Notamacropus eugenii: one gene and its partners. The protein of the gene in region 2 interacts with the protein of the main gene of each other region in a pairwise test. Links are inferred from orthologs where the notes say so. Each region holds a gene or a part of one and is shown on either strand. Other genes may lie near its edges.

Region 1 (10,374 bases), on a different chromosome or scaffold from region 2:
AAGAGAGAGAAAGAGAGAGAGAGAGAGAAAGAAAGAGAGAGAGAGAGAGAGAGAGAGAGAGAGTGTGTGTGTGTGTGTGTGTGTGTGTGTGTGTGTGTGTGTATAACAAAGAAGGTACTCTTCAGGATGACGGCATCAGGAGCTCTTGGTGATTTCCCCAGACACCCAGATGTCATCGACTGGGAGGTAAGGGATGGAAAAGACCCATTAGCTCACTAAGGTTGTACCATCTCTCCAGGCACAACCTTGTTTGCTCGTTGCTCACTGTGCATATTGCGCCCAATTATATCAATTCTCCACACGATTAAGCCATCGTTAGGCAGGGCAGGTGGAAATTCCCATGGGGGGGAGACTCCTCCCACCTCCATCCCCACCGAAAAGTGCATTGTCATCCTCTTAGATGCTGTAGTAAACTAAACATTTATGAAGGGCCTACTAAGTGCAAAGCTCTGCGTCAGACCTGTCTGGAGTCTTCAGCTACAATAGCACACGACGGAAGGGAATTTAGCCCATGCCGACTTCATACTCAAGAAAAAGAATTAAAGTCTTAACAGGAAAGTCAAACCTCTGGCCCCTTTCATTGTTCTTTCTTTCCAGAATAAGAGGAAAGTAAAGGCAGGAGGGGAGATCCTCTCCTCCAGTATTCCATAGATAAAATACTGAATTTGGAGACAGTGGATCTGACTTTAAATCACAGCTCCGCCATTTACTAGTTTGTGTGACCTTGAGCAAGTCAGTTCTTTAGTTCTCAGTCTCCTCATCTGTGAAATAAGGGGAGGGGGGAGATGAAGTAGAAAATCTCAAAATTCTCTTTAATGCTAAATTCTGATGTTCCAATATTGACCCTAAATAACATAAATATGGTCTCTGGGCCATCCTGAGGAATGAGATAATTGCATTAATCTGGTTCTGTGAGTCCATTTTGGGACAGAAGGATCTCTTACTTGATCCAACCCACTTGCTGGAAAATTCACTTTTCTGAACACTGAAGAAAGAGCATCATGTGGTTTCCTTTTACTTCAAAGCACTAGACAGCAGGAGCAAGCCCAGTTCTTTGTATATCTATCTCTACCACAGACAAACACACATCCCAGCCCCAGCCTTCCCCTCGAACCTACTATTCCCACTATACAAACTCCCTTTTCAAAGCTGCAAATGCCAGTGGCAGCTATGAAGGTCTAGTTGGCAGAGTAAAAGACACAGAAGGCAAGATGGTGGGGGGAGGCAGAAAAGGAAGCCACACCAGACCCTGGGAAATGGAGAGAGAGAGAGGGAGAAATATGCAAATGGAGAGTCGCCTCAAATCCCTAAACCCATTAATAAGGCCCTGAGCAGAAGCAGCTGGTGTCTCATCGGAGGCAACTGGCCAGCTTTTCCAGAAGGGTGAAGGGAACAATTCAGGGAAAAGGAGAAAACACAAACACACACACGTTTCTCCCTGTCCATCTCCCACTCCCCTTTGAACCAGCCAGGTGCTTTTTTCACAATGAACTAACAACAGCTGGGGGGAGACACCAGGGCTCCCAAGATAGTAAATCAGCAACAGGAGATGCCCTGAGACTGAAGGGGCCGGGCTGCGCCGGGCTGGGCTGGGGGGCAGGAGGGACACTTCCATCTTCTCTCCTTTGGAGCCAAGCTCCAAAAAAGTGGTTTTTGTCTCATTTTTCATCTTAAGGGTGATGATTGCTGCTGCTCGTCTAGCCCCCCAGGACGGGGCAGGAGGGTCAGAGGGTCCCTTCCTACTTCCCCGACAGCCAGCACCCAGAGGCTGGCTGAAATGTCTGACGAGCAAATTCATGAAGTCATGAATGAATGAATTCCCAGGCTCTGCTCCTTTTCTGGCCAAGAAAGCCTTCGGATCTAGAAATAAAAGCTTCAGATCTAGAAAACCCTACTAGCAGGAAGGGGGCGGGGAGAAAAGAGTGCCCCCCAGCTGTGGTTGGGGGGTGCTATGAGGCTAAAGGTGTGTGAATGCCTCACCCTGAGGCCCCCCATTAGTCTTCTACATAGGGTCCCCACCCCATGTCCTGCTACACGAGGACCCTCCCTCCCAGGCCCACAGAAAGGGAAACCCCGCAGGCCCAGCCCGAGCAGGGAGGCATATGAGGGGGCGTTACGAGGTGCGTGAGTTGGGGAGGTATCCCTTAGCCCTCCCAAAATAGTGCACCAGCCTGGAGAGAGGGGCAGGCAATCTCCCCATAGAAGAGGGAGGGGTGAGGGGAGAGAAGAGAAAAAGAAAAGCCCCACCAGGGCTTCCCACTTCGCGGCTGCCACCTTCCCCCGACACCCCTTAGTCTTTCAGAGAGACTCGGGGTACAGGTTTAAACACAACCTCAGGGCACCCCCCCCCAACTGCGCATGCGCGCTCGCAAGCTTTTTCTCTTCCCCCTCCCCACGTTCGCCGGTTACAGTTCCAACGCGGAGCCCAGCGGCCGGAGTGCGAGATAACGGCCAATGTGGGGTGGGGGGAGGAGGAGGGGAGAAGGAAGGGAACTCCGCCCCTGCCTCCTCCGGGAATGACGTCAGCGCTCCTCTCCCCGCCCCTCCCCTCGCCCTCGCCCTCGCCCCCCAGCGGCGCGCGCGGCCAGGGGCTAAAGCCGGGCTGGGGCGGGCAGCTGGCCGGGGTGCCGACCGGCTTTAGGGATTTCGCTTCAGGCTGTGGCTCCGGGAGGAGAAGGGGAAAGACTGGGGGGATGGCCCGCGGGCAAGGCACCCACGGGGTCCAGGAGTTGCAAGAGTCGCACGCACGGCCTCCGTATTCTCACCTTCCAGTGCAGGCGGGATCCCCGAGCGGGCGCCACGTGCAGGGCGAGGCTGCCAGCGTACCCCGGCCCTGCCCTGAAGGTGCCCGGCCTCCATCGCGACCAGCCCCAGCCTCTAGACAACTAGTCAATCGATGCATTTCCATTCAACAAGCCTTTATTAAGCTCCTTCAGGCACCCAGGGCCGGGAGGGGTAAAAATCCAAAGGCCGCCGCCCTCCCTCTCTACTTGTAGCAGCCACAGATGTTCCTTCAAGCAAAAACCTGGTCCCCCCCTCCGCCTGAATGCGGCCCCCTCCGTGCTTTCCGACAAACTGGCACCCGGGGAGCAGTCTGCTTCGGGAGAATTCTGAGCACGTGAACACTCACTCAAAATCCTGTGTCAGGGTCTCCTGGTGGGACCCCTGCCAGGCTTTCCCCCCTTTCACCTTCTGCCGAGCTCTCTGAAAAAATCCCCGTTCCTGGAGGGTGCCAAGGGCTAGTGCAGACTTCTTGGCTTTCCCCAAACTGAAAGGGCTTCAGGCAGGTATCAGTCACCGACACTCCTTCCCTCCCTCCATGGGGACCTGAGATGGTTGGAAATGTTGTGACTCCGTTCTCCAAAACGGTGAGGAAGCTAAGGGACCTTCCAGCTCTGTTTCATTCTATGATTTGTCATTCCTCTTCCCCGTGTGGACAAGAGAAATGTTTCCTTCTAAGAACAGCCCTGTGGGGCAAGAGATTCAGGGTGGTGGCAGCGGTGTAGGGACGGATCAAGAAGTCCCAAATTGTCTTATCAATCCTAAATCTTGGTTAAGAGCACCCCCATACACACCCCATTTAGACGAACCAGGCTTCCAGCATCTGCGGGCTGGAGAGGGGCAAGGGCTCTGTCTTTGGGTCCCCAAAGCCTAGCTTGTCATCCGAGGGGGACGTAACTCCTTTGGTGCTCCGGGGTCCAAGGTACACGGAAGTGAGCTAAAAGCTGAGAGTGGAAAGGGTGGGAGGGTGCTCAGAGGAAACCAGAAGCTAAATCCCATTTGGGAAGAGGGGTGTGGTGAAAAGCAGGATAGTAGGTGGGAGGGGAGGCACAAAAAGAGGGGAGGGGGGAAATCCCCTAGGAGAAAGGGGCTTGGGGCCAGAGGGAGCCCTCTGGTGCCCAGTGGAGAAGGGATGTCCATGGTCTGACCAGCAACCAAGGCCAGCAGACCAGACCTGAAGAGGGAAAAAAGAATAGGGAGAGGTCCCCTGCCACTTTTCGGATCCCTGTGCATGGCAGGAGAGAGAGGAAGGCAACGGAGGGTAGGGACTCAGGAAGACAGCGGGCTGTGGGCTCCCCAGGTGCGGGAAAAGTGGAAGACACTTCTTGCCTCTCAACAAGCTTCCCAGAGTCCATGGGTTCAACCCTTCTCTCTGCCTTTGAAGGTATAAGCTCCGGGGCTCTGCCTTTCTCGGGCTTCCCCCACCCCTCGGCTCGATGCCCCGTAATTCAGTGGTGCATCTCTCTGTCCCCACCCCCACCAGTCCCCGGAATAGCCGTGGGTCTTCGCAGCCTTCAGCAGCCTGCCTTTCCTCCATCCTGTCAGCCCTCCTAGGAGAGAGCTGCCCCGGGACTCGGCTGCCATCGCCCGCATACTCCGATACAGGCATCCCGGCTCCCCTTCCTTTCCCCTTTCCTGCACTCCCTGCCCCGCCCGCATCATCCCCGGGTGCGTCCAACCCAAGCTCGGGGGCTTTCTGCCCAGCTTCCAGGACAATTCTTCAGCGAGTGCTTTCCAGCGTATTCCCCCCTCCCCCCAGCCCTCCTGGTCGGTCGCATCCCTCCCTTCCCAGCACAAATTCACAGCGCTTCCAGCTACACCCCGCTTGCTCAGTGCAACGTTCAGAAGCCAGTCCGGTCCGTCCCCACCCCCCTCTCGTGCAGAGCCGCCCCCCCAGGCATTGTCCCGGTGCCTTCCCCCGGCTCCTGGGTGCAACGCCCCAGCTCCCATTCGCGAGCACAGCAGCCGGGGCACCGGAGCATCCTTCCAGCTCCACACAATGCCCGGCTGCGCCGGTGCCTCACTCCCCGGCTCCCTCACACAATGCCCGGGTGCATCCCATCCCACGCTACGGCGACTCCATCGCCCCCCACCCCCTTCCTCCTCGACCGCCCCCCGCCCCCATCCCCGGGGCTCGGGCTGAGATTCTACCTGGTGGCTGGCTGGGCTGGGCTCCCCCGGTTCTTGCCCCCCTCACATCCTCGCAGGAAGAGGCGGCGGCGGCGTAGCATTTAATCCGTCTGGCCCCGGCGCTCTCCCAGGCAAGCCAGCCCGAGCAGCAGAGCAGGCAGCGGGCGCGCGCTGGCCGGGGCTGGCAGGGATCGCGCGGGCGGGCGGGCGGCGCGAGGACAGACACTGCGGCTCGCGCTCTCCCAGCAGCTCCAGCTCCCCACAGCCGGTGATGTCATTCCATTCCAAGAGCCGATGCCTCCGCCGCCGCCGCCGCCGTCGCCGCCGCCGCCGCCGCCGCCGCCGCCGCCGGCCAGGAGCTGAGGGGGGAGGGAGAGGGAGGGCTCGCGCGGCTCCGGGGAAGGGGGGAGACGAGGAGCCCACGAGGGGGCGGAGCCGGGCCGTCCCTGCGTCACCGCGCAACACCTCGCCACCAAACCTCCCTCCTCCCCTGCCCCCTACTGCCAGCCAATGGGAATAGCTGACTTCTGTCACGTGGTGATCAAAGGACCGAATTGTGAGTTAAAGGGCTCAGAAGCACGTGGTGCTCTCTGGAGCAGGGGCTCCAGGGAGCACGTGGTGATCCCAGTGGCGATAGCGCAAGAGGGCCTGTTAAAGGGACCCTCGAAGCGCCCATGTTCTCAGGCTTGGATCTCGCTTCACACAATTGTAAATGGCTTTCTTGGAATCAGCTTTCCCCTCTGCCCTTTCTGCTATTTTCAGTCTTAAATTTAAACACACACACACACACACATTTAGCTATGTAGCAAGCACTGTGAGGGTGTGAGGTTTGTAAAAACAATAGTGCTGTCCACAGCCCTTACCCACCAGGATTTGTGTGAGGAGAGTACTCGGTAAACCCTGAGGCACCAGCAAAAATGGAGCTGTCCATAAAAAGCGTGTCATCAAGTATCCAGCTAAAGCCCTGCCCAGATACCTCATCGCGGTGTGGAGGTGTCCCAGGACTCTGGAACACGATGCTAGGAGCGTAGGCTCTCAGTGTCTACCGGTGCATTTCTGGTGGCAGGCTGGGTCTGCTCCCCCAGGATCAGCCCGGGTATGAAAAGGCTCATCGCCGGGAGTCTGCCTACTCACTAGGTGATCATCGTCGTCCATGGCAACCCAAGAAACAAAGAAAATCAAAAGATGCCCCCCCACTCACTCCTACGGTCATGGTGTTGGAGAGGCAGAAAAGACAGTGAGAGGGTGCAGAAATTCAGAGTTTCTAGACCATCTCTAAATGGGAGATCTTTGTGCAATGAACACTCACATCAACAGGAATATTCTTTATAGAAATTCAACTAGCAGGCAGCAATAGCTACTAAATGGAGATACAAGGATAAAAAAAGACAATCCTTGACCTCCAAAGAGTAAACACGGGATAATTTTCGTGAATACTTCCTTTCGTAATAACAATAACTTATTATGATAGGGATATACTTCTCTGGGCCCTAGAGAGTCTAGGTGCCTCCACTGTATGATCTCTATTGACTTTTATAATAATGCCTCTGAGGCAGGAATTACAGATATTATTATTCCCATTTCACAGATGAGGAAACTAAGGCTCAGAGAGGTTAAATCCCTCATCCAAGATTATTCAGCTACTGGCCAGAAGTGGGATTTGGGCATGTGTTACTGACTCCAAGCCTAACATTCTATCCAGTACAGCCAAAGGAATCGACTGACTAAGAACAGGATTCGAAGGTTCTGGAAGGGGTCATATTGAAGGCAAGGACTGGGGTTTTTTTTGTTGTTTGTTTTGTTTTTGTGGGTTTTTTTGTCTTTCCCCAAGCATATAGAACAGTCTGATACCTAAATAAGAGCTTAATAAATGCCTATTGACTGAGTATCAAGTAAACTCTCTCTCTCCCTCTCCCCCTTTCCCTCTCTCCCTCTCTCCCTCTCCCTCTCCCTCTCCCTCCCTCCCTCCCTCCCTCCCTCTCTCTCTCTCTCTCTCTCACAGACTGAATTTGATTCTTTAAGAACAGAAAAGAAATGACTTATTATTGACATGGGAGTCACTTCAGAATCAACTGTCTATAGGTAGTCAGTTAAAACCAGTCGAGAATCAGAAGAAAGAATGATAATGGTAGGAAGATTGATGATAATGCTGATGCTGGAGAATATGGAGAAGCACAATGGTTCTGTCTGCAGTACAGGATCCAATTATAATAGCTTCAACCTGAGCTATTCAAATAAAATGTTGACACTGGAAAATAAGAAATGGGAAAAGGTCATATTGACTTTGATAATTACCATTTCCACAGAAGTTTGAAGAAGCAGTTCATGTAAACTGATGAGAGGCATAATGGCATTATGGATAGAGATCTGGCCTCAGAGTCAGGAAGACCTGGGTTAAAATCTCACCTCTGTGATGTGTGACCCTGGACAAAGTCACTCAACCTCTCAGTTAACTCTCTAAGAATATGCTAAAAAAGAGTTGTGATCTGCATTGATGAACAGTTTTCTTATTAGGATTCCCCCTACACTAATGAACCCATAAGTCCAACTAGTCAATTCAACAAGGAGGACAAAAGAGACAAGATTATTTTAGTGAGAAAATACTGGATTTCCTTGCTAATGTATACCAAGGGCATCACGGGTTTACGGTACAAACACATTTGTACATTTTGGAGGACGATAGAAGAAGTCTGTAAGTCAGAAGAACTTCATACAAAACAGTGAAAAGCAGCATAGGCAAAAATACATCTATAGAAAGCTTGGCAGGAGGCACAACCAAACCAGATCATCCCAAGAGCATTTATAGATAAAACTGGGAGGGGAACAACAAATAAATGATAAATGGGAACAGATTTGTCATTGTTTCTACAAAGGATCTATTTTCATCATTTTTGAGAGCAAAACCAATACAGTTGGACTTTACTGCCTTTGTACTTGATGAAAAAGAAATGGCATTTAAGAAGATGTGTTTTGTTTAAAAAAATGGACTATATATATGAGTAATATATATATAGACCATATAAGTGTGTGTGTATATATATATATGTATGACCATATAAGTATATGCTAAAAAAAAAAAAACCCATGCTGGATGTGGCTCAGTTTTGAAAGACTTGGGGGGGGGGGGGGAGATAATTTTATGATGTCTCTCAGAGTGAGGAAGATTCAAAAAGAATGGATAGAATCATGGAAAATATTATTATTCCAAAAAGGCATCAAGAAGACACTAATAACAGTAATGACAACAATAGATAGTCCTTAATTTGGCTTTAAGGTTTGTAAGGAGCTTTACATTTATTAATTTGTTTATTCTTCACCACGGACTGTGCAGTAGTGCTGATATTATCCTCATTTTACAGATGAGGAAACTGACTTGCCCAGCATCATATAGAGACAGTATTTGAGCTGACCAAGTCCCATGTTCTCTCTACCATGCCACTTACTTTCTTGTCTCTATAAAATCTTCGTGAGAATAATCTACCCATGGTGTTAAGGGTATATCATAGTCTACATAATTTTTCCAATTTATGTTTATTGCTTTCTTTGATAAAGAAATCTCTAGTTTTTTTGTGCAACTAGTATTTAGTGGGGAAAGAACTAATTGGCAAGTGTGGAGCCCATCCCATTGGCCAGGTCTGAAAATATTTATCACATTCTGCATCATGTGTCCATTATATCTCTGATAGTAAGTCAATGGCACACCTTGTAAGTCTTCTGGGCTACTGTGGGTCATTACATTGATTAGAATTCTTAAGTTTTCCAAAATGATTTTTCTTTGCAATGTTGTAGTCATTGTATAAATTATTCCTCATATTTCAACTCATTTCATTCTACATCAGTTCATATGTGTTTTCTCATGTTTTGCTAAAGGCATACTTTCGGTTTCTTATGGTTCAATAATATTCAATAATATCTTATACCATAATTTGTTCATCTTTTCCCTAAATGATGAGCATCCCCTTAGTTTCTGGATTTTTTTGTTGGAACTATAGCTTTCCTTTAATCTTCAATCTCTTTGAGTATATGTCTAACTAGAATGTCAAACAGTATGCACAATTTAATAACTTTTTGAGTTCAACTCCAAATTGCTTTTCAGAATGGCTAGTCCATTTTCCAGCTCTATCAACAGTATATTAGTGTGCTTACTCTCCCACATTCCCTCCAACAATTATAATTTTCCCTTTTTTGTCATCTGTGAGTCATCAGAGTTGTTTTGTTTATTTTTATTACTATTTATTCATTGCATTTTCATATGATTATTGATAACTTAGATTTCTTCCTTTGAGAACTAGCTGTTTATATCCTTTGACTATTTATTTTGTTCTTATATTTTAAATCAGCCTTCTATACTTTATGGATATGAGACCTTTCTTTATAGAAGAATCTTGTTTCACATATTTTCCCCAGTTAACTAATTTCCTCTTTAATTTTGCCTGCATTAATTTTGTTTGTACAGAGGACTTCAAATTTTATGGAATCAAAATTTTCCATTTTTATGTCTTGCGATGCTTTCTGTCTCTCAGTGATCAAGAATTCTTCCTTTATCCATAGCTGCAAAAAGTATCTCCATCCCTATGCCTCTGTAGTTTTCTTATGTTGTGACCTTTTCTGTCTAAGCCATGTAGCCCTTTGGACTTTGTTAAGTATGTGCTATGAGATGTTAGTCTAAACTTGATTTCTGCCAGACTGCTTTCCAGTTTTCCCAACAGTTTTTGTTAGAGTGAGTCCATGCCCCAGTTGGTTTACGGAACATTTTACTACTATATTCATTTGCTTCGTAGCTTGTATACCTAATTTGTCCCATTCATGAACTTTTATATTTTTCAGTCAATACCAAATGATATTGATGATTACTGCTTTGCAGAATAGTTTGAGATCTAGTACTGAGAGGCTTCCTTTCTTCTCATTTTTTCTTTTCATTATTTCCTTTGAGATTCTTGACCTTTTGTTCCTCCAGATGTTTTGTTATTATTTTTTCTAGCCCTGTAAAGAAATCCTTTGCTGGTTTGGTTGTACAATAGCCTAATTCATCTCCCTGCCTCCTTTCCAAGCCATCCTCTGAACAGTTGCCACGGTGACTTTCCTAAAGCACAGTCTGACCATATCAGTCTCCTATTCAATAAAGTCCAGTGAACCCCTATTGCCTCTAGGATAAAATGTTATTTAACCTTTATCCTATTCTTCAAAAATATCTATTTTGTGTAAATTTTAAAATTAGTGGCCATTTATGTAAAAAGACTATAATTGATAATTACATATACATACATACATACATACATACATACATACATACATACATACATACATACATACATACACAAATTGGGAATGTATGCTATTTTTTTTTTCTGGTAGGGGTATATAATCAAAAAAGTTTGTAGACCACTTCCCTAGACTATGGCTTGTCTAGCCAACTAGCCAATTAAGCTCATCCATATTAATGTGTATCTAGGACAGGACTTG
Region 2 (10,374 bases):
TGAACCTTCCAGATCTCCCAGCTATTAGCCTAAATCTTTCCTTAAATTTTGTTCACACTTCTAATAGAATAAGTATTTGTCCTGGATTCTAACCCTAACCCTAACCCTAAAATGCACTCTTTGGCCATTTGTAGTCTAGTTTCTGACCACATCACCTGACTAAAACTGCTCTCTCCCTCTTCTTTCTCTTCTCCCCTCCCTTCCCTTCCCTTCTCTCTCTCCTTCCTCCTTTCATCTTTTCCTCTCTTCTCTCTCCTTTTCCTTATCTCTCTCAAGCATCTCAACTGCTAAATTCGATGCTCCCCTCCCACCCCCATCCGCTCCCTTCATCCTTTTTCAGTCATTCACCCCTACCTGAGTCCTGTTCTTCCTTGCCTTTCCTATCTGTCAGACTACAAAATTATCAATTGATAAACATTTATCAAGTGCCTGCTATGGGCCAGGCACTAAGCTAAGCCCTGGAGATACAAAAAAAAAAAAAAAAAAGGTAAAAGACAATCCCTGCCCTCAAGGAACTCACCATCTAACCTGAGACAACTCAACAATATGCTCTTCCTTCTCCTTTGAAAAGCCATCATCTGGCTCTATCCCCTTAACCCTGGGTATCCTATAAGGCTCTGTCCTGGGATTCCTATTTGCTGGACATTGTCCTTAAAAGCCCACCAGCTCCCAAAGCAAAAGGACCTATGGTTTCATCTCTGCAGGAAGGGAACTTCCAGGTGAAGAAACTTAGCCCACCCATTTAGGGTAGTACCTTCTCCACAACTAATAGAGTTGCCAAGAGGCACTCAGAAGTTGTGACTAGCCTAGAGTCCCACAGTCGATATCTATCTGAGGTATAATTTGGAGTTGTCTTCCTGACTTGAAGACTGGCTCTCTAGTCACTTATAGCAATCAGCCTCTTCACTGCTTCTGTGAGTTCTATTGAAATCTCTATTCAGAAGAATCCCAAAATTATATACACAGCCCTTACCTGTCATCTTAACTCCAGTCTGCCTAATAGACATTTACACCTGATGTCCTATCAGCATCTCATTCGTAATATGCCCAAAATAGAACTATTTCCTAGAAAGTCATCCCTCCTCCACTCTCCATCCTCCCAATCACCCAGGGATGCCACCTTGGAGTCCTCCTTGACTCATTCCACTTCTTTATCCAATCAGTTGTAAAGTCTGGTCAGTTCTCTTTCCCCGACATCTCACCCTATCATTCCCACCATCCCTCATTGAGATTACAACCACCTCATGGGTCACCTCTCTTCCAAACTCCGCCCTCTCCATTCTCCAAAAGGTGGCTAAGTTAATATTCTCTGTCACGTATTTGATCATACCACCAACACCGCCCCTCCCCCCCCCATCCAAAATCATCAGTGGCTTCCCATCGTCTCTAAGATCAAATCTAAACTCTTCACCCTGGCATTCACCAACGTGGCCCTGATGCTTTTCGGACATCATCTTACTCTTGTTCACACGCTGATGGGCAGGTCAAACTGAGCCTAGCGCTGTTGACTGAACTCAACATTTGCTCTCCAGTGTTCATGCCTGTGCACGCCCGGGAGGCTGTGTGCTCCCCCTCCGTCCTCACCTTGACCTCTTTGTAGGGTCAACTCTGGTGCCTGAGGTTACAGGAGACCTTTGCTGATCCCCCTCCCCTCCCCTTCAGGCTGTCCAGAAAACCAAGTGGTTTTTAGTTTTTAATTATTTGCTACAAGTTGTCCTCCTAACCCCAAGTAAAATGCAAACTCCTTAAGGAGGATTTTTTTTTTTGTATTTATATTCTCAAGTGCCTTGAACTTGGCTACTTAGGAAGCATTTTGTAGTTGTATATCTTCTTAGATTGTGCACTTCCTGAGGGCAGGGAGCTTCCATTTTCCTCCTTTTGTATCCCCATCCAGTTTAGGATGCCAGGCACCTCGGAGGTGCTTAAAGAACGATTGATTGAATTGTATTAGTCTGCCCCCAAGCAATACCTAGAGAGCTCTGTAGTGGGGAGAGAACCAGTTTGGAAATTCAGAGACCCGGCTTTGCTACTCACTAAACTCATTCATTAACAGACATTCATGAAGCGCCTGCTGTATGCAGGCACCAAGGGTGCGAGACCTTTCCGCTGCAAAGACAAGTAGGATGCAGCGCTCTGCCCTCCAGGATCCTGCACCTAATGGGGAACGACGGAGGTGGAGCTTGGGATCACAGTATCGTGGAGTAGCAGACCCAGAAGCCACCTACTCCAAGTTTTTCGTTTTAAAGAGGAAGACAGTGAAGCCCAGGGGGTGGTGACTTGTTGCAGGTCACAGGAGTGCTCAGCATGAGACAGGACTGCAATCAGGGCTCTTTCCACTGTCTCTCCCGTCTCAGAAGGAAGGGTGAGACGAGTACCAGGGAATATCCAGCCGTGGGACGGACACTGTAGATCCCTCCTCCTTTCTGGGCCTCAGTTTTCCTGTCTCTAAAATGACGGGCTCGGGCTAGGTGCTTTCTAGGGTTCCTCTCCGGGTGGAATTGGCTCAGCTTTGCTTTGTTTTCTCAGCTGAGTCCCACCGTAAAGGAATGAAGACAGGACAGAGCGCTCACCCTACTCCTTACTTCTCCTTAGTGGGGAGCCCAGGGTTTGCCCCAAGTCCCGCGGGCTAATGTATCATGCAAATCTGACCGCGCGTCTCCTGGGGAAACATCTACCCTAATTTGCATAATGATCCCATTTAGTGCAGGTAGTTAAGCACGTGACCTACTCCCGGGGGTCCGCAGTAGGAACCCTCCCAATTCTAGGATTTGTAGGTGTTTCATCCTTCATCCCCTGGGGGAGCGGCAGAACCGGGCCGGGGCGTCTCGGGCCCTCCAGTCCCCGGGGGTCCGGATGCCGAGTGGGCATCGCCCCCCCCACGATCTCTCGGGGACCGGAAGCGGCCCCGGGCGCCGGAGGACGAAGGCAGAGGTGGGGGGCGCTCCCGGAGGCTCTGCAGGCCCATGGCGCCCTTCTCTTTCCTCTGGTCCTCCTGGGCTCCCTGGGCCCGGTCCTGTCCCCCCGTCTCCATCTTTGCCTCTTTTCCTTCCATTTTCTCCTTCGCTATTTGTCCTCCTTTCCGCCTCCTCTTTTTCTATCTCTTTCCTCCATCTTTCTTTTCCTTATTCCCTCAGGTTCTTTCGCGCATCTCTTCCTCTCCCGGTCTCCGCGGGGCTCCTCGCTCCGCCGGCTTGTTGGCGCACGCGCACATCGGCAGACGTCGCCCCACACTCTTCTCCGCCGGACCACGCCGCGGTCGTTCCGCGCAGGCGCATACTTCGGGCGTCCCAGAGTCTCCCTCTACCTTTCCCTCTCCTTTCCCAAAGTAAGCGTGAGTCGTTTCGCGCACGCGCACGTCCCCCTAGCATCCCGGTGGGGCGGCGGGGTAGAGGACGATGGGCGTGAATTGCCTTTCCACTCCAAGAACTACACCTGGGTAGTTCCGCGCACGCGTACGCCTCCGGGAGCTCGGGCTCCTCCTTCGGCTCTCCCCGGGAGCTCAGGGGAAGGGCCCGTAGGCGCGCGCACGCAAGCTCACGTACGCACGCACGCAGCCGCAGACGGCCGCGGGCCGACGCAGAGGCGCTGACGCCAGGACGTCGTGACGCCAGGACGTCGCCGCCGCCGCGGCGGATGACGCGCGGATGACGCGGATGACGCGCGTCCCGGCCCGGCCCGGCCCGCTCCCGCCGCTCCTCCTCCACAGCCGCCGCCGCCGCTGCCTCCTACTCGTCGCCGCTCCTGGGTCCGGCCGCGGCGGGCAGGCGGGCAGGGGGACAGGCGGGCGGGCGGGCCGGCCTGCCTCGGGGGTCGGTGGTCGGGGGTCGGGGCAGCGGGCCCGGGCTCCGGCCTGGCCGCGAGCCTCCTCCTCCGCCCCGGCCGCGAGCCTCCCTCCTCCTCCCCGCGCGGCCTCGGCTCCTCTCGGGGGCTCCGTCTGGGCGCCGGCGCCGGCTCGGGCCCTGAGCCAAGGTGAGTGCCGGGCGGCGGCGGGGAGGGAGCTCCCCGTCGTGGCCGGGATGCAAGCTCGGACCGGGGAGTGGGGGCCGGGCGTCCCCCGCGGAGGTGGGGAAACTGAGGCACCGAGGGGTCGGACGGTTCACCTTAGGGCGCCGAGCCGGGGTGGATCGGGTCCAGCGATCCCTTCTCCTCGGGGCGTCGCTGCCGGGCCGGAGACCTTGTACAGTCAGCACTTATTAAGTGCCTGCTGTGTTCCTGGAGACCTCGCCGAAGGCTCTGATTTTACCTCTGACCCCCGGCCGGGGCTTGACGGGGGTTGGGGGGTCCCCGGGAGGTTCCTCCTCCGCCGCCCCCGAAGGAAGGACTTGGCACCACCGAGCTGGGAGGGGGTGTTTTGTCTTTGACTTTCCTGCTGTTTCCTGGTCCCGCCGGGGCAGCCGCAAGTTCACTTCTCTGTCCGGGGCCTGGAGCGGAGGAGGCGCTTCGTAACTGTGTATTGAGTATTGATACAAATCCTGCGTGTACCCCGAAAGCTCTCCCCGGGCAGAAAGGCGGCTGGTCCTGTCTGTTGGTGCGATACTGTATCAGGCGGTGATACTGTAGCATGTGTGAGACGGAGAGGGGGACTTATTCCTGTGAACTCCTGGACCAAAGCTGTCTTCAGGGGCCGGAGGCAGGGAACTTGCAAAATGTATGTTTTCTTTGCTTTTCTCTGCATTATCTTCTTTAATGCATTTCAAAACCGTCCAAGAAGGGCTGCACGGTGTTCATGGGGTCTTGGGCACGACCAAGAAGCCCTGGGCTAGAGGAGCCGTGATTTCCCTGCTTTCCTCAAATCCTGTTTAAAAGTCGTTTTTTCTCATCCCTTAATATTTGAGAGGTATTCTCAAATTTTGCCATTCGTCTTTATTCTGTCCCCTTTTCTCTGTGACCATGTTGATCCACTGTTTCTACACACTAAGTGTTTGTTGTAGCCCATCCCCATAAGGCTGAGTGGTTACTGCGGTCCAAAGCTCTCCCAGCTGTTGAATAATTTAGCTTCTTTTTGTTCTAGTCACCAAGTCCAGTGCAAGAACTTGGACCTCTACCTGTCCTCTCCAGTAGTAGCCCATACGTATTCCTGGATTGACCTTGATGGGTTTAGCACTTGTCCATTCTATCGATTAATTATTCTTTTGGCATCTTGAAAGATGATGGGGTACCAGGTATATTTTGTGGGTTGTTGCTTTCTTTGACCAGGAACTAGAAACTATGAAAGAGCATTTTTTAAGAAAGTAGCAACTAAGAAAAAATGCTGCTTTTTAAGAGGTCACCAAGTTTCCTTTTTAAAAATTTTTTTATATATTTTTAATGAAAGGTGATGATCAAGTTTTAGCACATACCAATCTTTTCTACGTTCATTCAGTTAGAGTTCTTGGCTTTTAGATGTCTGGTGGATGTTCTGATTTTTCCAGTTCACATCATGTTTGTGTAGCACTTAGAGACAGCATTACTCTTAAGAAGGCCAGAAAGAAAATATGCTTTTCCATTTTAACTTGTGATGATGTATTGAGTTTGCACATTGTTCTAAATTGCTTCTGGACTCTAGAGTTGCATTTAATGACTATGGTCTGAATTTTTATTTCAAGATGATGTGCGAGGTGATGCCAACCATCAGTGAGGCAGAAATTCCCCCAGGAGGAGGTGGAAGCCATGGTTCTGGTTCCCCTTTACAGCCAGATGCTGATTCACATTTTGAACAATTAATGGTGTCCATGTTGGAAGAAAGAGATCGTCTTCTGGACACTCTTCGAGAGACTCAAGAAACGCTTGCCTTGACTCAGGGGAAGTTGCATGAGGTTGGCCATGAAAGAGATTCCTTGCAGAGACAGCTCAATACTGCACTCCCACAGGTATGAATGTTTTTAACCTTGATCTTGCTAAATGTTTTGCATGGTGTGACTTAGTCAGAAAATTTCAAATAAAATCTGCAGTACTATCTATGAAATGGTCCATCAGGGACCACGTGTGGTGGTAATTTCTTGAGGCTGTTCTCTGCCCTTCACTGGAAGTAAAACCAAACAAGACTCTAAATGTACATCTGACGGTTCTCAGATATGCCCCGTCCCTGACTTTTTCCTTCCTAATTTGTGACTATTCATCTGTCCTGTTGGGGTGAGGTTACTGCAGTGCCTGCCTGCCTCAGGCTCTGCCTGAACTTCCCTCCCACCAGCACCCTCTGCACATGTGAATTTGGGGAGTAGCTGCATGGGGGTCAGACTTGGTTTTTGTGTTTTGAGTTGTTATTCAGTCACCAGTGCACCAAAGTCCATCCTTCATTGTTTGACTTTGGAAACATGATGACCTGAAGAAAAATACTCGGAAAGTGACTGGGAAATGTTCTAGTCAGCCCCTTTACATCTCTGCTTCTTGACTTAATGGGGAACCTTTCCAGAATGACTAATGAAGATAAAGGCACTTACGAGTTTGCACCGTTGGTAAATATTTTCCTATAACTGCATGTGGACAGAGGGATCTGTGGCTTAAGGCAGTTCGGTTATTAGAGTAGTTCAGATGGTAGACTGTGATCACGAGCGTAAGCTTAGAATAGGAAGAACCAAAAACTTTATGGCTGTTTTCAGAAGTGTTGTTCCTGTGATAATGGTAATTATAGAATGGTTTAAAAAATACCTAATTTATGTAAACTAAGAAGGGGGGGAGAATAAATAGTTCAGTGGATAGAGTCAGGAAGACCTGAGTTCAAATCCAGCCTCAGATATTCATTAACTCTGTGACCCTGGCCAGTTGTCAAAGCCTGTCCATTTCACCTTTACATCTCTGGAATATGCCCCCTTCTCTCCTGACAATCTTCCCCTCCAGGCCCTCATTGCCTGGATTCTTGCTGTAATTACTGGGATGGAGTGGGTCTGCCTGCACCAGATCTCTCCCCACTCCAGTGCCTCTTCCACTCACCCACTGAAGGGATTTTCCTAAATGCAGGTCTAGCCATACTCTGTCAACTCCAGTGGCTCCTTATCACCTGCAGCTTCAAATACAAAGTGCTCTGTTTGCCATCCAGAGCCCTTCACAGCCTAGCCCTCTCCTGATTTTCTCATCTTACACTCTGCTCTTTCCTGTGCTCTTTGATCCAGTGACACCAGCCTCCTGGATGTTCCATGCACAAGACCTTCCATCTTTCAGCTGTGGTCATTCATTCTCTCTGACTCTCATCCTTGGAATTCTCTTCCTCAGTTCCACCTCCTGACCTTCCTGGCTCCTTTTAAGTTCCAATAAAATCCTACCTTTCACTGGAAGCCTTTTCCAGTCCCTCCTGATCCTAGTGTGTTCAACTCCTTATTGCAGTGTGTGCTTCTTGAGGGCAGGGACTGTGTATTCCCAACACAGCACAGTACCTGGCACACATATTAGGCACCTAATAAATTTTTATTGAATGAATGAATCAACTTAACTTCAGTCTCCCAAGATTGTTTTGAGGATCACATGAGATAATATCTGTAAAGTGCTTAGCCCAGTGCCGGGCACACAGTAAGTGCTATTTAAATGGTGGTGGTGGTGGTAGTAGTAGTAGTAGCAGCAGCAGTAGTAGTAAGTATGTGCACAAAGAATGTATGCTGGGAGGATGAGTCACAGTACATGATGCTGACCATGGAGAGAAGAGCCTTCTTTGGGGAGAGTGTATTGGGCAGTGGACTTGTGGCCACAGGCAATGCCTGTGCTGCATTAGCTTCACTTCTGGAAACCAGCTTGAATTCGATTGTGGGATTTTTTTTCCCTTGTGAGGAAGTATCTTTAGATTCCTCATGAAAGATAATCCAAAAATGAATATTTACTTAACAGAAATTTGCATTTTTGTAATCATCTCAGCTGGGTTTCTCTTTCTGGGGCTGGAGAACTGTAGGGGACCCTTGAGGGAAATTGGGTTTGGAGACTAGAATTGTAAAAGTTTAGGCTACTGTTTTTCCTTTTGTACTTAATCTTTTACATTTGGGCAAGTGTCAGAGGGCCTTTAGTGTCAGTGTTGAATAATAACCTGACTATCAAGAAGGGCAGGAAAAATTACGTCTGTACCTCAGTGCACAAGTGGATTCTAGTCCCATTCATGTGTCAAGCTGCATGAACACGGGCCTATCACATCATCTCATGAGCTTTAGTTTCCTTGTCTATAAAATAATGGGGTTTGCAGGAGAGTGAATTTAAAGATCTCTTTGCCTCTGAGAGGGACATGTGGTGTGAGGGGAATGACCTAGGTGGTTCTCTTTGGGATGGGCCTTCTTACTTAGGATGTGTCCAGGTAAACATCCTTTTATGCAGTTTTGGTAGTGATTAACCACTGAATTATTGCTGTCCTTAATGCATTTAATCACTTCTAATAAACTAAACACTGGATTTTCCTTTTTAGCAACAGTGATTTTATGTCAGTGCTATATCCTTTTTTAGGATGCATAATAAGGATATTTAAAAATAAGATTTTATGTTTGCTGTTAGAATCTCATTCATATAAAGCTTGAGAATATAGTCACTTGCATGTCATTGCACCACCTTGGCAGAGTCTTTGGTTGTACTCAGTTTTGCTCACTGTTGCTCAAGATACATGGTTTGCCACATAGCTTGGTGGTTGTAATGCCACATTGCAGCCTGGCGTAGTGGATAGATTGCCGGGTTTGGAATCAGAAACACTTGAGTTCAAAGGCTGCCTCTGACATGAGCTGTGTGACCCTGGACACAGCACTTAACTCGAAACTGATGAAATCAGTCACTTCTCTCTTGTAATTAGACTTTTTAAAAGTAAGAGATTTACGGAAAAATCAGAACGAACAGGTTCTTAGTTGGCAAGGGACTCATCATTTTATGTATCTTAAATAACGTGCTCTATGTTACTGGTTCAGGATTGTATTAATGGAGGTGCCCGTGAAATGATGAATCCAGTACAGGCATGGAAAGATACCGTATGGCAGCATGCCACAGTAGCAAAACATTAGCTTTTACTGTCATCAGGAGCAGCTGGTGGTGTAATGGATACAACGCTTGTAAGTCAGGAAGGGTTGAGTGTGAATTCTGCCTCTCACACTGCTTGGCTGGATGGTCGTAGGTCAGTCGCATGGAGATTTCTTAGCCTTAGTTTCCTCACCTGTAAAGTGGAGATAGTGATAGCACCAAGCTCACAGGATCTTTGTGAGGATCAAACGAGATGACATCTGTTAAGCACTCCAGTGATGTTTATCGCCGTCCTCACTGTCCTTACCACCCTTGTTTAACAAGCTTCTGAGTGAACCAGGGAATGGCTCTGGAGGGCCTCAGAAGTGAAGAGTTTTTAGGTGTGGCATTTGACTTAGCACCATGCTTGGCTGTGCTAGGTGCTTAATAAAATCTATCAATTGAGAGATAGTCTTTGTGTTCTGTGCCGCACACTCCTGTCCATCACCCCCATTCTCACCTCTTTTGCACCAATATCATGAGAAGAGGAGACCTTTTAAGCCAGGGCCAACAATATTTTTGCCCTTGAGTGAGATGGCAGTCAGCTCCTGTTTCCTTTGGGAGCCTGTCCTTTTCTATCGCTTCTTTTTTTTTCTCATCTTCATTCTTTCTTTCCTTTTCTTAAGAGCATTCCACTTCCTATCTTTAAGAAGCCTTCACTTGTCCTTTCTGTTTCCTGCTGCTTTTGTCCTAGCTGATTTTTTTTTCCCTTCGTTTCAAAGCTACCTCTTAGAAAAAAGAAATTATTTACCTGACTTTTTCTCACCCCCTGTTGACTTCTGGATTTCACCAGTCAGCCGAGCTGTCCTCTTCTGCTTAGTTGTTGAGCTTGTGATTTTTAAAGTGGAGGAATGGTGATTTCCTAATTTGTTCTCTTTGTGGTTTGTGACATGGTCATTCACTTTTTCCTCCTTCATGTTTTCTTTCTCTTCCTCTCCCTGGACGCTCGTTCTTTTCCTATCTGTATTACTGATCTGTTTTAATCTCCTTGTTGGGTCATTGCTGCTAATGGCCTACTGATCTCGGGCAGTTTCTTGTCTCTTTTCCTCAACCACTTTTTTCTTCTCTTTCTTAAATCATTCAGCAAGTGTTTATCATATGGCTTAAATATATCAGGCACTGTGCGGGGTATGAAAGAAAAGTGAGACATTCCCTGTCTGCTCTCAAAGAACAGTCTTTTAAAACATTTTAAAAGGCTTTTTTGGCTATCTTCTTTTTATATCACTTTAATTTCTGAATATATTTTTCTTTATCTCCTTTTCATGGAGCTATTCTATTCATTCCTTTTAACAGTTGTGGTGGGTGAAATCTTAAGTGGCTGAGAATTCAGACTGAGATTCAAGCTTCCGTGCCTATCCATTTATTCAGCTGTGCGCGCCAATTGCATAACAAATTGGGATGAGGTGTCCTCAGATTGGCACTGGACCCCGAATACAGGTGGAA
Region 3 (10,374 bases), about 480 Mb from region 2:
AGTCGTTAACAGAACAAGGCCAGCCTGGGGAAGGGTCTGCAAGAGAGGGCCCCAAGACCACCTTCTCAGCCAACCTTCTCAACCAATTCCCAGCCAGCACAAAGCTGGGAAGCTGATATAAAGCAAGCTAGAATGCTGGACTGAATCTAAGGCGAGAGAACTTAAGAAGGCCAAATGTAAAGTCTATGGCCTGGGTTCAAGGAATCAATGTCACAAGTAGAAGGGAAGGGGGGGAGGGTCTGGCTAGGCAATGGAGTGCCTGAAAACCTCCTGGGGTCTGAAAGGACCACACACTGGCTGAGTCATCAGTGGAATGGGGCAGGCAAGCACCCAAACAGGAATCTGGGTGGTTCAATTGGCCTCCAGGAGGAAGGGGAGCATGCCTCCATGCTCTGCCCTGGATAGGCCTTACCCAGAGGCTGGTGCTCAGGCCTGGCGTGCCATCTAAATATCAAGAGCTGGGAGTAGAGGAAGCTCAGGTTCAACAGGTGCCTAAAAGGAGGGAGCTGTGTCATGGGAAAGAGAGATCAGCTTTGTTCAGCTTGGTTCCCTCAAAGGCAGAACCAGGAGCAATGAGGGGAGGTCACACACCCCAGGAAGGCCAACTCAAACTGGATGGCAGGAAAACTTCCCTCACCATGACACTGTCCCAGAGTGGGGCATTCCGGGCTGCCCGGGGAGGTGATGAGCTCCCTGTCCGTGGAGGTCCCCAAACAGAGGCTGGGTGTCCACTGGTTAAGAAGACTGCAAAGTGTTTCCTGCTAAGCCTGGGGCTGGACTCAATGTCGCCAAAGTGCCTTCTAGTTCTTGGACTCCTAAGAAGGACAGCCCTGGGAATCTTCTCTACAAAGAAGGAAAACTGAGGTGGTGGGGAGTGTGGAGGAGGAAGAGAAGGCATCCGGGCCTTGGGGGGCGCTGAGGGCCCAAACGATGAACCGGCAAAGGAGACTTAAAAGGAGTTATCAGTCAGGAAGGAGGGAGCCCAAATGATCAGGATGGAGGGGGATGGGGCAGGGGAGCTTGTCAGAGGGAGGAGGAGAAACAAAGGGCTGCCCACTCAAGAGAGGACTGCGGGGTAGAACTGGAATGTCCAAGCCCCTGACACTGCAGACATGGGAGACTCTGGGAGGCGCAGAGCTGCACATACTAAAAAAACTCTGGCTGCATGGGAAGGCTCCGGGTCAAGGCAGGGACAGACCCCGGTGAATGAGCCACTCAGACCAAAGGGAGCAGTCAAACTTTAAAAAGTAGGAGTCAGCAGGTAGCATGGGGAGAGAAGCAAATGGTCTGCCGCTGGCTAGGGGGATGGCAGAGTCCAGGAAGGGTTTGTTCAGCACAGGGAACGAGGCAGGGTCAAGAGCCTGGGGAAGAGGCTGCCTCCAGATGAGAGTAAAGGAGGGGATGATTTCAGGAGTAGAGGGTTAAATGGAGAAAAAAGCCTTCCCACAGGGGAGGAGGTGAGGGTCTTCGCTGAGGGAGTAAGAGGAAGACAGAGTTGTGGAAGACCTGCCCCAGAGGTGGGGAGAGCCCCAATGAGACAAGGGAAACGAGAGTGGGCCCAAACACCCTGGGCCGCTCTGGGAGGGGGATCTTCAAGCACAGCTGGGACAATGACAAAAAGACTCTTAGGTAGGTGGGGTTTGCACTCGGAGCCTCTGGGGTCTCTTCCAAGCCTGAGCTTCTACAAATGTGCCCCCTGCAGTCAGAGCCTGGCACATAGGCCTCACAGGGTGACAAAAAGAGCACCTAGTCGGCAGCAAGGCCCGGGTTCGAAACGTGGCTCTGCCACTTCTACCTTAGCTGCATGGCTCAATGGGAAGAACGCTGGGCCTGGAGTAGGAGAACCCGAGTTCAAATGCAACCTCAAACACTGATGAACTGTGTGACCTTGGGCAAGTCAGTGAACCTATTTGCCTCAGGTTCCTCATCTGTGACAGGGACATTATCACAGCACCACCCTCCCAGGGTCACTGTCAGGACCAAATGACATCTACACAGGGCACAGGGCAGATGCCACGGAAATGCTCATTCTCTCCCCCTTCCCTGTGCTACCTCCCCAGGCCTCAGTTTCCTCATCTGTAAAACAAGGGGGCTGGACCTGAGGACCTCAGGGGTCCCTCTCAGCTCCTGCCTGCCCTCCCCATCCCTCATTCTTCTATAGGGAGTTCTCCACAGACCTGGCCCCTCCTCTGTCCCTCCCTCATTCTCAGGGCACCCAGAATCGCTTTCTACCATTAGAACATAAGCTCTTTGAGGGAAACAGCTGTCTTTCTGCTTTTGCTTGTTTCCCTTGGGCTCAGCACAATGCCCTGCACACAGCAAGCACTTAATAGAAAGTTGTTGCCTAACAACAGCCTCTTCTTTCTGTTCACATGTACAGCCACCAAAGTGACTGCCTGCAGCGCAAGTCACTTTCCTACTCCATAAACTTCCATGGCTCCCTCCTACTCGGAGAAAGCAAACACACTCCCTGACCCTGCCCAGGTCTGGGCCCCCCCCCCGTCCCTCCCACCATGGGGGCCTCTGTGCCTGGCAGGGTCCAGAGCCCAGCTGGGCTGGACTCACCTGAGTCTTCAATCTGTCACTTCTACTGCACAGATGCCTGAGAGGCCAGGGCTGGAGCTGGGAGTCCTCGGTTCATTCCTGTAGAGATGGAAGGGGGCAGGGGAGTTAGGTCTCTGGCAAGCAAGGAAGCCTGAGGTTCCCAGCCCAGAAGATGGAGACGGAGGAGGAGGAGGACCTGGAACATGAGGTCCCAGAATGCAAGGCCATATAGTCCATACTCCTTCCATCCTGGGGGACAAAGGGACACTCAAATCTGACAGTGGCTCCCCTCCCACTCTCCCCATCACTGGGCACCAAAAGAGGTCACAGAAGAGCAAGCTCTGGCAAGCCAGAGCTCACGCTCCTCAGGGGGGGATGGGACTGCTTGAGTCTGAGGCATGCCCACCTCATCCCCCAAAGCAGCTTCAGGAAGGATGGCCAGCAAGGCAGAGGGACACACTGAGAACCTAGGGGACTCTGTGGCTCTGTCACTTAGCACCAAACATCCACAGCCTCTGCGTCCCTCATAAGTTCTCCTTTCTGTGGGCACTGGTCTTCCTCTGCTGGACATCTACACTTGTGCACCGCCCACACAGCCATCTACCTCAGCCCCAGGCCTGCTGCCTATGACTTACAAACAAGCCTGAACAGAGGCTGGTCCCCACTGGTCCCCATGGCCTGAGGACAGAGGTTCCTCCTCACCTCTCCCCCAGAAAAGCCCGATTCACTTTTCCTGAAAGTCACTGCCTGTGGCTCCAGCTATCCCAGGATCAAGTTTTAGACAGGCATCCAAGATACCTCCCCAACACACCCAACATTGGCCCAAAATAGGCCAAGATCCATCTGTCCATCGAGTGCATACAGGGTTCCTTCCCACCTCCATGACTTGATTCCCCCACTGTCCCTCCCTACCTCATCCTCCAGAGCCCAGGGCCAGTCCTGGTGCAGTCCAGCCCTCAGCCACCAGGCTAATGCACTGCTAGGGTCACCCCGCCTAGCTGGCTGACCACCAGGCAGCAGGCCCCTCAAGTTCCCCTGCATTTGGATCCAGGCACACCTGCCCTCCTCAGGCCCTAGACAGCAGCATGTGGGCACAGCCTTGGACTGGCTCCCAGACCCTGTGCTCTACAAGGTGACTCAATCCCTGCCTGCCCTCAAGAAGCTTTGATTCAGGTGGGGAGGTCCACAAGGAAGATGGCACAAAGGAAGAGGGAGAGGGGACAGAAGCAGCTGAAGCCTAGGGGACTTCATGGAGGAGGGGGCATGAGTTGGGCTCCAAGGGTGAGAAAGTAGCCGCCACCACAGCTGTCATCAAAAGGTTTGTCGAGCTGAGCCGCCAGGTATTTTAGTCTCATTTTGTAAGTGAGGCCGATGAGGCTCGGCAAAGAGTTGCCCAGGGTCACCCAGTCACCAGGAAGTGTCAGAGGCAGAGTCCAATTCAGCCTCCTTCTCTGGACCACAGGCAGAGTGGAAAAGGGAGGGAGCTGGAAGGACAGAGTCAGAGGCAAGGAAGTCACCAGAAATCACTTGGGAAAGTGAAGTGGGAGGCCTGGCTTGGAATGCCAAGCCCAGAGGCAGTACTAGGGAGCCACCAACTTCATGAGCACAGGAGGGACGTGACATGGTCAGACCTGTCTGTTAGGCGGAGGAACCTGGAAGCAACGGCAATTCTTCTAAACCTTTCTTAACTTTTAGTGTACAGTAAGCACTTAATAAATGCTTAAAGGACTGACTGACTCCCAGCAGCTACTACAATAATTCAAACATGAGTTGATGAGGGGCCACACCTGGGTGGGGTGGGGGACAGTGTTGAACAAGAGAAGGGGTGTATTCAGGAGATGCTTTGGCCAGGCTTGCAGGGCGGGGGCTGAGGAAGAGAGAACAAGGAAAAGGGCATCAAATGTCCCTGCTGGGGAGGCCAGCAGAGGGGGAGAGTCTGCAGAGAACCCAGCTTCCTGGGGAGACTCTGGGGGTCCATGGGGGGAGGCTCCACTGACCCATATGACTTTCTTTGGTGAGGTCACTACACTAGAAGCTCAGAAGGATGCTCCAGAGCTGAGCAAAGGGTGATGGCAGAAACAAGACACAGGCAGACAATGCTGCCTGGGAAGAAGGATGGACAGCTCCAGCAGAGCCCACCTGAGGCACTGACTTGTACGGAGACCCAGAGGGCATCCCAACTGAAACAGCAACAGAGCCAAAAAAAAAGGAGGGGGGCACAGACTCTGAATCAGGAAGGGCTCCGGAGCCCATCAAGGCCAGGTGAGGTCACTGAGACCCAGAGGGTCACGCAGCTAGAAAATGCCAGGTCTTGGTGACTCTAGGGCCTGCCTCTGCCCACTACTCCACACAGTCCAGGAGGGTGATGGAAGGACACTAGGAGAGTGGCACTGAAAGAAAGTGTGTACACGGGGGTGGGCCGGGGTTGGGAGAGGTCGTGGTCACGCCAGGGACCTCGGGTCACTAGAAATGTAAAGTCCTCCGCCTGGATTAAAAAGGCACCAGAAAGTACAAGATGAGAGGGCAGCTCATCTGAAAAGGATCTGGAGCTCTCAGTGGCCACTGAGCCCACAAGACGGCCCGGCACGTACTGTTCAGCAGGGGAGCAGGACCCACAGCACTGGAAGGGCGAGTTCCCTGGCCCCCGGAGGGCGCACAGCGTGGGGGCTGGAGGTCCCGGGCCCACTGAGGACCCTCTGGTCCCGGGGGGCAGCGAGCTCCCCAGCCCGGCTGCTGCGGTCCTGGGGCCGAGGGGCGGGAAGGAGGCAGAGCCCGCGCGGGAGGGTGGGGGGGTGGGGGGCCCTCCCCCCCCGTGGCCCCCTCCCCCTCCTCCCCGTGCGCCCCTCCCCCCACAGGTAGCCCAGGCCGGTGGGGCGGGGCCGGGGGCGGGGCCAGCCGGGCTGGAAAAGCCGGAGGGGCGGCATTCCTGCGCGCGGGCGCCGGGGGGAGGGGGCCCCGAGACAGACTCCCAGAGACGCCCCCCCCAGAGGCAGGGAGCCCCTGTCCCCACTCCGCAGGTGCCCCGGGGGGGAGGGCCTCTCGCGGGCCCCGCCCGGGCCACGGCCACAGGGCCGGCGCGGACACGCGAGGGGGGCCCGGAGCCCGGGCGCGCGCTCGCGGGGGGCGCGCACAGGCGGCGGGCGGGGGGGGGGGGGGGTAGAGTGACCGGCCCGGATCCCACCCCCGCGAGGCTCCCTCCCTCCCCTCCCCACCGTCGGCGGCCACGGCCACGGCCCCCACAGGGGACACGGACGCGGGGGGCCGTACTCACCCGCGCTGCTGCTCCTGCTGCTGCGAGCCCCCGCGCCCCCGCTCCTCATGGCCGCCCTGCTCGGGCTCCCCGCGCCCCGGGCCCCGCGCCCGTCCACCCGCCGGTCCGGCCTCCGGAGCGCCCACCCAGCCCAGCCCAGCCCGCGAGCCGAGCCGCCGCCGCCGCCTCCTCGCCCGCGTGCCCGGCGGCCGTGCGCGCCCCCGCGTGCCGTGCGCGCCGCCGCCCCCCGCGCGCGCTCCCTCGCCGGCGGAGGCCCGGGGAACGGGGTCGGTGCGCGCGGGCTTCCCCGCGTGTGTGCACTGGGCGCGGGCGGGGACCTCCCCGCGGCGTGTCGACCCGGGCCTGACCCGCTGGGGAGGGGGCCGGGGCCGCCCCCGCCCGCAGCCCCCCGAGCCCCTCCCCGGGTGTCCCGCACTGGTCCGAGCGAGCCCTGGCCCGGCCCGGAGGGCTTCCCCAGCGGGGCCACGCGGCCCCGCCTGCCTCGCCCTGATCGGATCCCAGGCCGGGAGCGGGAGGGCTAGCCCTCGTGGAGGGGGCGGGGTCGTCACCTGGGCCAGGTGCGCCCTCTTCCCGCGGCCCCTCGGTGAGCCGGGCATCCGCCGGAGTCTGCAGACAAAGGGCCCCGCCGCCCGGGAGGAGGTCGGCCCGGCCTTAGGGGCAGCAGGGCCGGGCCGGGTCCGAGCCCGCCCCGCAGCCCGGGCGGCCTCAGGGGCGGCAGGGCCGGGCCGGGTCCGAGCCCGCCCCGCAGCCCGGGCGGCCTCAGGGGCGGCAGGGCCGGGCCGGGTCCGAGCCCGCCCCGCAGCCCGGGCGGCCTCAGGGGCGGCAGGGCCGGGCCGGGTCCGAGCCCGCCCCGCAGCCCGGGCGGCCTCAGGGGCGGCAGGGCCGGGCCGGGTCCGAGCCCGCCCCGCAGCCCGGGCGGCCTCAGGGGCGGCAGGGCCGGGCCGGGTCCGAGCCCGCCCCGCAGCCCGGGCGGCCTCAGGGGCGGCAGGGCCGGGCCGGGTCCGAGCCCGCCCCGCAGCCCGGGCGGCCTCAGGGGCGGCAGGGCCGGGCCGGGTCCGAGCCCGCCCCGCAGCCCGGGCGGCCTCAGGGGCGGCAGGGCCGGGCCGGGTCCGAGCCCGCCCCGCAGCCCGGGCGGCCTCAGCTCCCCGGAACGTGATCCCGTGCGCCTCAGACATGACTGGTCCTGGGCTCGCCAGTCCTCTTTCTCTCCCCCGACCTAGGGTGCGGGCTGCCGGTGCCCAGGTTTCCTTCCCTCTTTCACAGACCCTCAAAGGTTCCCATCAGAGGAAGGCTTCCTCCAGCTTTAGAAGGTCTAAAATAAATAATTAGCCAACCAAGGAACATTTATTAAGCACCTACTCTGTGCTAAAGCACTGAGGGTACAGTGCTTCCCCATCTCCTCCCCCCCCCCCCCAGTCAGAATTACCTTCGACGCAAGCTAATTGACAGTGAGCTGGTGAGGGGCCACGAGGCACCAGCAGATTGCAGACTGGAGGGGGTGTAGGTGGGAGATGAGGAAAGCCTTGAGTGAGGCACAGAACACGCATTTATTAGGCACTGACTGTGTGCTAGCCACTGTGCTGAGTAAAACAGTCCTTGGGGGAAGTCAACATAAAAGGAGGCTGAAAATGGCATGATAGATAAAATCTGGAGAGAAAGGATACAGGCAACAAACTTACAATAGCTGAGGTCAGAGGGGATGAGGGCCTGGTGTGAGAAACGCATAGCCCAGTAGATATGGAGGGTGAACCAGAGGAAATGGGTCCCACACGTCCATACAATTCCACCTCCTTCGGTCCAGGAGGCCTTCCCCTGGGTGAGGTCCAGGGCTAGGATGGAAGCTGGGACTGGGCCTAGAGCTCAGATGGGAACTCCCAGGAGAGGAGACTCCTTTTCCAATGCAGGCCAGCACTTCTCTGCATTTTAGAGAGAGACTTGGGGCATTGACTGATAAAGTGAGCCAGAAGGTGCCACAGGCTGCTCCAGATCCAGGTCTCCTGTTTCCAGCCTGGCTCTCTGGATACTTGGCTACAAGACAAAAGTGAGACAATCCCTGCCCTTGGGGCAACTGTATGCCAAGTAGATACAAGGAAGTTGGGGGGCACAGTCCCACAATACCCCTTGCTTCATTGTGATGCACACACATCCTCTCCCAGCTCCGGAGGGGAGGGAGGAAGGAGGAAGGGGGCCGAACACAGCCTTGGCTTTCACCTTTTTTTGTATTCCCAGCACTTTGCACCATCCCTGGCATACAGTAGGTGCTTAATAGATGTTTATTGACTGACTGATTTAAGCCCAAGGTCAGGAATAACTTTCCAAGAATGAGAGCAGTCCCAGAGTGGAAGGGACTGGCTCAAGATGTGGTGACCTCCCTGGCCTTGGAAGGGATCTCCAAGCAAAGGCGGGAAGCAGGATTGGGGGGATGGGTGGGGGTGAATAGCTGGGTCTGCTCTGGCTGTGAGGGCCAGTTGAGGACACGTTCCCAGGGCCAAGGGGGTGTGTGTGCGGTGGGCTTCTGAGGGAAGGGTTGGGGTCCAGGGCCTGAAGCTTCCGGGGAGAAAGGCGGAGTGGGTTCAGGGAGGCTGCCAAGGGAGGTTGGTGGGGGGAGAAGAGGGATCCCCGAGGGGTTTATTTCCGGTTGAGTTTTGAGTCCCGAATTCGCAGGTGGAGCGTGAGCTCCCTCTCGTGTCTGTGGAGAGGCCAGGCCGTTCGGGCAGCAGGGGCTGGAGGTGGAGAGGCCGGCGCCAGGCTGCTGGGTGGCACAGGCAGCATGGGCACCTGTGCGCAGGAGAGGGGCACGGGCACAGGTGCGAGCGCATCAAGTGCAGCCGTGGAAATGGACTAGACTAGGCGTGGGCATGGTGGGCGCTGTCGAGATGGGGGGTGGGGGAGTGGCTCCACAAATCCGCCCCTGCGATGGGGGTAGGAGGCCACGGATGCGAGTGCATCAAGTAGGCGCTGTGCCCTGGAGGGATGGCTCCACATACCCACCCGTGGGTCGCCCCTCAGAGTAAGCGGCAGCTAATTCTGATGTCTGCTCTCCTCACCCGCGGGACTGCCCCAAGGTCTACCTCTGAGGAGGTTTGGGGAGAACCCCAGACACTCCTTTTGCTGTGGAGGGACCTCCCAGATGTGGGAGCCCCAGCGGGTAGAGGAGCTCCCCCCCCCCCCCCCCCCCCCCCCCCCCCGACCTGCCCCTTCCACCTCTGACAAATTTGTGTGGCCTGGAGTCAACTTCCCACCAAATCCCCCACCCTCCACCCCATCACTAATGGTCAGTGTTTGTGTGGGGCTTCCCAAGCATTTTGCAAATATGATTTCCAATTTTGTCCCTACAAGAACCCTGGGAAGTCAGTGTTTTTATTTTCCTCATTTTACTGATAATGAACCTGAGGCAGACCCAAATGGCGTGACTTGCCTAGTAAGCATCTGAGGCTGAATTTGAACTCTGTTCTTCCGGTCCAAATCCACAGCTGACTCATACCACCCAGCTGCCTCTGGGCTTAGTTAGGACCTCGAGTCTGGGGTCACAGGTCTCACCTGAAGCCAAGGCAGGCAAGCAAGGGTGGGATGGATTTGAATCAGAAGACTGGGGATTTTCGGGTTACTAGGGCCACTTCCACACTAGGTATTCTCCAGGGGCAGATTATGGGAACATCTGGGAATTCCTGACCCTCCTCTGTTAATTGGGGCAAAGGGTACCCCCTCCATTCCATATCCCAATAACCAACCTGGTGTATCTGATATGACCTTGTCTCACCCACAGGTCCCCACTGTGCTGGTGTCCCAGGGCTCTAATCAAGGGACTCCTAAGTTGGGGATGTAATTCTCCTTTGCTCCACCTCCAGATTTGGTTCCCTGCCCCCTCTTTTCCTTGGGTCCCCAGCTAAAACCATCACATCAGCTGTGGCTCTGCTGACAGGGTGGCTCAGAGAAACAGAACTGGCAACTGTCACTTGGAAGGGTGTTTGAATCTCTCATTGTGGAGATTCCTCTCAGCCAGGGATGAGCTCTGCCTGGGGATGTGGGAAGACAGAATTACACAAGGAACAAGGAGGAGTGAGAGAGATGGAGGAGTCCTTCCTAGTCATTGCTGAACCCAGCCTATGAGGAGCCCCCAGGCTGAGTCTGTCACAATGGGTGAGGCCTCCGGGGGAACTGGGTTATTAGCATTTATTTCTGCTCAGCTTTTCCCCCTCCTGGTCCCCAGACCCGGGACTGAGCAGTCTTCCTTTACTTCACTAACACATGTCCCCGGAGCCTGTCTTTGTGTTCTCCTTTGGGGTCTGCCAGAGGTGGAGTAAAGAAAAGAGGGGACAAAGGTCAGATATGGGTGGCTCAGGTGTCAAGGTTTGGGGGATCCCAGGATCTGAAAAACTGCAAGACATATTTGAGTAGCTGTTCAACGGCCTAAGGTAACAGAGGAGAGGACAGAGGGAATGGTACCTGCTGGAGAAGACAAGCTAGGTAGGGCTGGCTGGCTGAGCTCCTGTAGAGCACTGAGAATGGAACAGATTCAGCCCAGGTCAGCAGCAATTTAGGGGACATGGTCATAAAGC

The links.
Region 1: the proteins of PPFIA1 (region 2) and PTPRS interact in a two-hybrid assay, tested with the Homo sapiens proteins (2 studies listed by BioGRID). The link is inferred for Notamacropus eugenii from reciprocal best matches to the Homo sapiens genes PPFIA1 and PTPRS.
Region 3: the proteins of PPFIA1 (region 2) and PTPRF interact in a two-hybrid assay, tested with the Homo sapiens proteins (2 studies listed by BioGRID). The link is inferred for Notamacropus eugenii from reciprocal best matches to the Homo sapiens genes PPFIA1 and PTPRF.

The regions. Positions count from the first base shown.
Region 1 is NC_092875.1:72,999,951-73,010,324, forward strand, and holds the start of PTPRS (receptor-type tyrosine-protein phosphatase S), read right to left. Parts: upstream 5,213-10,374; 5' UTR 4,933-5,212; intron 1-4,932. UniProt on the Homo sapiens protein: Cell surface receptor that binds to glycosaminoglycans, including chondroitin sulfate proteoglycans and heparan sulfate proteoglycan.
Region 2 is NC_092873.1:22,488,564-22,498,937, forward strand, and holds the start of PPFIA1 (liprin-alpha-1), read left to right. Parts: upstream 1-3,835; 5' UTR 3,836-3,969; intron 3,970-5,585; coding exon 5,586-5,849; intron 5,850-10,374. UniProt on the Homo sapiens protein: May regulate the disassembly of focal adhesions. May localize receptor-like tyrosine phosphatases type 2A at specific sites on the plasma membrane, possibly regulating their interaction with the extracellular environment and their association with substrates.
Region 3 is NC_092873.1:504,994,428-505,004,801, reverse strand, and holds the start of PTPRF (receptor-type tyrosine-protein phosphatase F), read right to left. Parts: upstream 5,905-10,374; 5' UTR 5,816-5,904; intron 2,644-5,815; 5' UTR 2,566-2,643; intron 1-2,565. UniProt on the Homo sapiens protein: Possible cell adhesion receptor. It possesses an intrinsic protein tyrosine phosphatase activity (PTPase) and dephosphorylates EPHA2 regulating its activity.